Ovis aries: one gene and its partner. The protein of the gene in region 1 interacts with the protein of each later gene in a biochemical or structural test. Links are inferred from orthologs where the notes say so. Each region holds a gene or a part of one and is shown in the gene's direction. Other genes may lie near its edges.

Region 1 (3,512 bases):
GTATATCTTCCTGATTTACTGACCCAGGATGTTACTGATGTGGATGAGGAGAAAGGACAGCTGCTTCTTTCTGAACCGCATGCTGAAGAAAGTGTTGCTCTTTCTGAATCATGTCGTTGATAACATTTTTAAATGATTTTTCAAGAGACTTCCCTAGCAGTCCAGCGGTTAAGATTCCCCACTTCCACTGCAGGACAGGAAACTTAAGATCCCACATGCCGTGTGATGTGGCCAAAAAGAAGATTTTCAAGAAGATAGTTTTGAATTTTTTCCTTCTATTTTGTCTAAGCATTTGCATTTCTGCAATTAAATAAATGGGTGTTGTTCAGGCTTAGTCTAGTTTCCTAATGAGTTCTTTCCTTTGTGTTTTAATACCTTTTTTCCCTATGATCAGGGTCGCAAGCTTCTTATCATTGGGACCACAAGCCGCAAAGATGTCCTTCAGGAGATGGAAATGCTTAACGCCTTCAGCACCACCATCCACGTGCCCAACATCGCCACAGGGGAGCAGCTGCTGGAGGCTCTGGAGGTAAGGATGAGGGAGGAGAGTGCACACTGCCCAAAGAAAGGAGCTACGGGTGCCCCAGGCATCACACCTGGTGTTTAGTTTCTGTGTTAACACAGAACAGGGAACCCAGGATACACCTCCAGTCACTTTCAGGAATTGGAGGAAAAAGAGAGAAATGCAAGTGAGAGTGAAGTAATTCTTCATTCCTCAGTGGAAGCAGCATGCAAACTGCCAGGAATGAATTACTGTGTGCCCAGCACGACTAATGCATATAGATTACATGGGCCAGAAGCTTTGGTGGGCGGAGGGAAGTAGAATAACATATAGAAAACTCAGTTCTTCATACTAGCGTTCAGTCCATTTACTTGCAGTTAATCAATTTGAGCAATAACTAAAGCCTTAAAGGAATCTTTTATTAACAAGCTCATAATATGAAAATGTTTTCTTTTTTGAGGATGACATAATCTTTAATTTTTAAAAAAATATATATCCTTTATTAAACTTTTGACTAATATTGGTGTTCACAAATGACTTGATGAAGTGTTAAGAAAGATTATTTAGTTACTTGTTCAGCAGCGATAGAGTCAGGAAGGCTTCTTAAAATCCTCAAGACCTGTACAGTTGGGCATACTCCCAACAAAATAGAAGCTATATGATAAATGTTTCCAGCTTACCTGTCTGAGCAGTTTTTGTGCCGAGGTTGAGTGAGAGAATTAAATTTAGTCTGCTTTGACATATACAGATTATTCTTAGAATGGAATGTTAAAAATTTTAACTGATATTTATTATGGATTGGAGCTATTTTTCCCCCAGCAAACATATCTCTAAATTATACTGAAGGTTCATAAGAAAATAGGGTTTAAGATTCCAGTTTTCATTTTCATAATTGCAGTTAATGGATTCAGAAAAGTCAAGTTGGATTTTAAAATATGAGAGAATTCTATCAGCTTGAACCAGTCAGGTAGTTCTTATCACTATTCTTTCAAGGGTAAATGTGGAAATTAATGTTGTTGATGTCCTTATATAATGCTTTCCTTACTTTTATTGTTTTTGTAGCTGTTGGGCAATTTCAAGGATGAAGAACGCACCACAATTACACAGCAAGTCAAAGGGAAGAAGGTCTGGATAGGAATCAAGAAGTTACTAATGTTGATTGAGATGTCCCTACAGGTAAGATGCTTCCTTCTCCATATGGTTCAGACACAGAAGGTTCACAATATTATCCCAACAGGTGTTATCATTCCCTCTCACCAAGATTTTAAGTTGAAAGTCTCCTGTATTATTTCCAGAGTCAAGTTGGTGTTAGTAACCTGCTTCGGAGATCAAACAACAACTTATTGGTACTTTCTTTCCTACTTCTTAAAATTCAAAAATAGAAGAAAAGATGATTAAATTTTAATTTACAGAGTCACTAGGTTTTACAGTTAGAAAAGACTTGAAAGAACAATTTCTGCTGCCCCTTCATTTTAGAGGTGAGGATCCTGAGCGTCCCACCAGTTGTCAGTGAGTTAACTAAGGTCGCAGCTAGTGATCTAACGGGGTGGAGGTGGGGAACCTGGCATTGTCCATCAGAAGTCAGGAAGCAATGCACAGATGCCAGAGGGGGCCTGGGAGACTGTTTCAAGGGACAAGGTGATTGAGTGTAGAGATTAGACAGAGGCTGTATATATTCTCCCCTGGCAGGGCTCCTAGAAATTTCACGCAAACTACTGTAGGGTTGAAGCATCCAGGATCACATAGAAAACTAAGCCCCAGGCTACTGCCTGGGCAAAAACAGATGAAACTTCTTTGAGACCTTCTCACATCTACTGGCAGCTTACCTCTCTTCTTTTTGTAACTCTGCCCCTCTCTGTGCCTATCCTGTGTCTTCTTGTCCTTATCTGACATACTAGTTAGATACTAACTGTGTCTCTTCGAAGCTGTATGAGTTCAGGGATCTTGGCTCTCACTCACTAGTAAGTCCACAGCTCCTGGAACAGAGCTGGACCGACGCATAGTCAGGCCCTCAGCCAATTTCTGTTGAATGAATCTCTCCTGGGTCCTCGGTGGACAGACTGGCTGCATTCTGAGCTTCATGCATTAACACTCAGTCCTGTTGTTCCAACAGTGTGAGCTGTGGGTGGCAGAGGTGAAATTTATTTCATTTACTGCTGAAATAGGCTCTTAGACCAATAACAAATTGCAATCACGAAGTGAACGCTTTTTTAATCTTTGCTGGTCAATTCATTTTAAAATTGTGGCTTTCAGAAACCTTCAGCTGGACTATTTTTAAGCCAGTTTATTTCTATTTTTCCTTATGAGTAGTAAATTAAAGTTCCAGACTAATCACTTTGCTGAGGATTATTCTTGGTAAAGGTGCACATACATTTGTGTTGGCTCTTTCCTTGGAAGAGATAAATCTGTCAGACAGTCAGCTCTCTATGCTTCATTTCTTTAAGTTTCAGCACAATTTTTTTTTTTCAATAATTGCATAGAAGAAACTATGTGGGTTTTTCTCCCCAATCCCTACCCCTTCCTCTCTTCCTTTGATGCCCGCAGGTCAGTGATCAAGTTAATGCCTCCTCTGTTTGTGGGGTGGAAAGTGAGAGCGGGGCACTCAGACCTAATCTTCAGCGACTGACACTTCATAGGCCTCTGAGTTTGAACCCCTTCACGTCAAATGGATTTCGTGCAGCTGAGTGAATTCTCTTTAGATCTGCCTTAGAGAGACCGAGTCTAAGTGAAGAGGCATGTAGTTTAGCCGAATATAAGTCATGTTACCTCTCTGTTCACCATACACAATTCTGTTAAAACTTGCACAGTGCCGAGGATCTGCTCTGACTGGATGTCACCTGAGGGAATAAAGTCATTTATCTAGATTACTTTTTTCCTCCCTTTCCCTTGACTTTTAATTCCATAGCTACAGGCAAGTCAGTAAGTCGTTGCTCACACATATTAAATATGTTTAATGGGCAAAGACCTGCAAGTACTGACTACAGCAGAGCTCCAGCCAGTTCCCTTTTTT
Region 2 (4,042 bases), on another chromosome or scaffold:
TGCAGTGTCCTAGAACCAGCCTTTTATCCAAGGAGCTCTCGTTCCTTTTGTTGGAGAACAAAGAGTATTAAAAACTAAGATCTGGGCGCTAGATATAATTGAACCTAAATTTTTAACAGTTTCACTAGCTTTTTTTTTTTTTAAATGAAACCAGCGTTAGACAACCTCTGCTCCCCTCTGCATACCTCTAAGACATTGCAGGTTCAGTTCATAAATAAAGCCAGACACATGACTTTCCCTTTGTTTCCCAGTGCATGTAAGTTATGTTTACACTATGTGTGTATGTGTGTCAGTCGCTCAGTTGCATCCGACTCTTTGAGACCCCCATGAACTTTAGCCGGGCAGGCTCCTCTGTCCAAGTAACTCACCAGGAAAGACTACTTCAGTCTATTAAGGGTGCAGCAGCATTATTTTAGAAATGTATAATTTAAAAATATTTTATTGCAAAAAAATGCTAATCATTATCTGAGCCAGTCTTAATAATAACATCAAAGGTCACCAATCACAGGTCATCCTAACAAGAGTAACAAAAAACTTTAAAATATTGTGAGAATTATTAAACGTGGCATTGAGACACTAAATGAGCCAATGCTGTTTGGGAAACCGCACAGCTCTGAGAGAACTGCTTAATGCAGGATTGCCACAAACCTTCAATTTGTTTTTTTTTAAAGTGTATCTTGGAAGGGCAAGAAAGCAAAGCACAATAAAATGAGATATGCAGCCTTCTCTGGTCTTCCCAAACCAATTTCAGCATAGGTCGACAGAGGGCGCAACAAAACGGAGACCGCTTTCCTTCTTACCCACGGACGCCTTTCCAAGTGAAAGAGACCTTCAGGAGGTAATGAGAGGAGGCGGGGACTAAGCTCTGCGCAAAAGAGCTGTCAAACCCAGTCTTCCGGCATGGAGCTATCACGTGACGATTAGGGATCAGCTGACTAGGGTCTAAATTCCGCAGGGAAGTCAGACGGAGCCAAAGGCTGAAGTTGATTGGTGGAGCAGGAACAAGCCCAGGAGGCGGGTCCTTGGCGCTGAGGGCTACGATTGGCTTGTGCGGAATCACGTGGGTTATCAACCAGCGCACCAGGCACCCTAAGACAGATACATGCGCATGCGTTAAAAATTGGATCGCTGATTGGAGGCCGTGAATCACGGGGCGGCGTGCCTCGGCTGGAGAGGGCGTGGTCTGCGGTGCGCACGCCGCGCTACGAGGCCGTTGGTTGGCCAGCTCGAATCACGTGGTTCCTGGCCGCAGGAGGCGCGCGCCGGTGCGACGTCAACGCAGCCCACTAAGCTCCCCCGACCTGTCTCCTGCGACCCGGTCGTATCTGAGTTCTCCGAGGGCAGGGCTCCGGCGGTTTGCTGAGTACTTTTGCGGCCGCTATGGACAACTCCGGGAAGGAGGCGGAGGCGATGGCGCTGCTGGCCGAGGCGGAGCGCAAAGTGAAGAACTCGCAGTCTTTCTTCTCGGGCCTCTTTGGGTAAGAACCGCGCGCAGGGGTCGGCCGGGACCTCGGCTGAGAGGACGGAGGAGTCATGCTCTGGGGCGGCGGTAGAGGCGAAGGGCTCGAGCCTAGAGGACGCGGGGGTTTGCGGGCTTACGGGCATGGTCTGAGGCAGCAGAGGGTACAAGCCATGGCCGGGACGCCGGACTGTGGCACTGACAGCGTGATTCGAGGAAAGACTGTCCGAGACTGTGGCAGGGCCGTGGGCTGAGGACACCCGGGCCGAGGCGAAACCATCTGGAGGCAGGAAGGGGCCCCAGGCTGGAGACGGGCCAAAGGGCCAGGGGAATACGGCCTCAGGCCTTGAAGGGAATGTGGCCTGCGGGGACCGAGGGAGCCTGGAGGGAAGCCAGGCTAGGAAGCCTTTTGGAGCTCAAGGAGAGCCTGTTTGAAAGATCCCAGACGGGAGTCTTGGGCCCTGAGACTGAGGACTTATGCCTGAGGGCGTCCCTTTTCCGAGACCTGGGGTGATGGACTTACGTGAACTCTGGCCCGGGCGTCAGGGCTAAGATGATCCTACGATTGATGGACCCAGTCTGAATTGCGTGAAGTGTCTCAGGTGAATATGGCCCAGGTCACAGGTGACTAGTGTAAAGAGACCTGACTGCCAAGTGAGATCTGAACAGAGGAAGCTCTGGGGTGATGGAGTGAAGGCCGAAGAGGGCTGGGAGGCTGGAAACTAAGTGGGAGTGAAGCTTGGTTTAGGAACTGGTGGGATAAAAATGAAAGATGAGGGAGATAAGAAAACCTAAGGGGCCGGAGGCCTGCTGTGTGATCTTTGAGTAAAGATGGGGCATGCAGTGTGAGCAGAATGAGACTGGCATGCCCAGGTTAGGGCTGAAGGGGGCTGGGAAACAGAATCAACACCTAATGCTTGTGGCAGACATTTCACATGAGTTCATGTTGGCTCATAAGAGTTGTTCTGATGACTGTCGTTTGAGGAATTTTAGTGGCTGAGGAGGATCAAAAGCTCAGGTCAGAAGCCTAGGCTCTGCCATTTCTTGACCTTGGGCAAGCTGTTTAACTTCCCTTATTATGGGGAAGTGGTGTCTCAGAGAAACCTGTCTCAGGCATTTGCCACTAGTATTGAAGTAGGGCACGCGTAAAGGGTGTAGAATTGAGCCTGGGACGTGGTTATCACTCTGAAAGTGTTAGCTACCATCAGTGTCATTTCCGGGAAAGAAACAGGTATGGAGCCTGTTCGGGACTGATGGGGATCAAGGTGGGGGTTTGATGGGCGGGACTGATGGGGATCAAGGTGGGGGTTTGATGGGAGAAGTGGGAGGGGGGCTGTCAGAGCAGGGAGAGGCGATGTGATGAGTAAGGAGTTGAAAGGGGTTGGGGAAGGAATTCGGGCCATGGGGACTTGATAGGGTTAGGGGAAGGGGCTTGAGACCTCCGGTGGAGAGAGAGCCAGGGAGGACTGAGGAACGTTGTGTTGCTCTTGAAACTGGGAGGAGAGCTGCAGGGGAACAGGCGGGTGTGTAGAGAGTTAGGAGGAACTGTGAGGAGGGGCCATGGAACCTGGCAGCAGAGAGGCCAAGGCTGGGGACGGGGTTTGCGGGGGAAGACTGGGGCTTTAGGAGAGACGGTGTTAGGAGGTTGGTAAGAAATGAGGAGGAGGGTTCTTCCCCGGAGAGGAGATGGGAACCGCTCATTGTTACAAGTGGTGGATAATGTTTACTTATCCACCGCAAGAACTTGAGTAACCTGGCTGAGACCTCGCTAGTGTGGAAAAACATCCGGGGCTGATGGACTGTATTGATTAGGTGAGGAATGTTTTCTTTCAGAGGCTGAGAGTAGGGAGAGCGTGTCTGTGTTTCTGCTTCCTTCACAAGGGGAGAAACTCAAGTGCAGTGCTTTGTGGTGGGGCCAAGAGCTTAGTTTTCAGTCAGGTCATGGTTTTACTGGGTGGCTTTTGGTGTCTGGTCCCTGGGGATTAGTGTACTGTTGGGCCATGCTTGGAAGGAGCAGCCAAGTCAGGGCCTGAAACACTTTGTCACCTGGCTGGGAAGGCAAGATGAAGACTTGCTAACACACTAGTAAAGCAGAATTGTCACATGTGATTAAGGGCTGCATTTTATCATTGGTGGGAGGTTCCTGACCTGAGAGGAAGCTGCATGAGCTTAAGGAACTCCTTGGTGAGGAATGAGCTGGGCCCCTGGGAACCCTGGGACATGCCACAGGAGTGGGGACTGGAGAGGGTGTTCCAGGCAATGGGAATTGTCTGAACAGAGGTCTAGGGTGAGGGGAGGTTTGTCCAGAAATGATGGGGAACTGAGATCCAGAGAGACCAGGGCTGGCTCCCTGTGGGGAGAAGCCTCCACCTGGGAGGATGAGCAGGAGTTCCGGGGGTGCTCTCTGGTGGGAGAGCACAGCTCCCAACAGAGGAGGCAGCTTGAGCAAGGCCCAGATGTGTGAAGGCCAGCGTCTGAAGGTTTACTGCAGGGGGTTCTGCGTCAGCCCGTAAAGGTAGAACAGGCAGAAGGGGATGAGACTAAAGAACCAGGCCCCATCCCAGAGGGCTTTTTGAGAAAAGG

The links.
Region 2: the proteins of NSF (region 1) and NAPA form a complex in vitro, tested with the Homo sapiens proteins (2 studies listed by BioGRID). The link is inferred for Ovis aries from reciprocal best matches to the Homo sapiens genes NSF and NAPA.

The regions. Positions count from the first base shown.
Region 1 is NC_056064.1:45,177,795-45,181,306, reverse strand, and holds part of NSF (vesicle-fusing ATPase), read left to right. Parts: intron 1-394; coding exon 395-529; intron 530-1,564; coding exon 1,565-1,900; 3' UTR 1,901-3,512.
Region 2 is NC_056067.1:54,244,465-54,248,506, reverse strand, and holds the start of NAPA (alpha-soluble NSF attachment protein), read left to right. Parts: upstream 1-1,233; 5' UTR 1,234-1,380; coding exon 1,381-1,478; intron 1,479-4,042. UniProt on the Homo sapiens protein: Required for vesicular transport between the endoplasmic reticulum and the Golgi apparatus. Together with GNA12 promotes CDH5 localization to plasma membrane.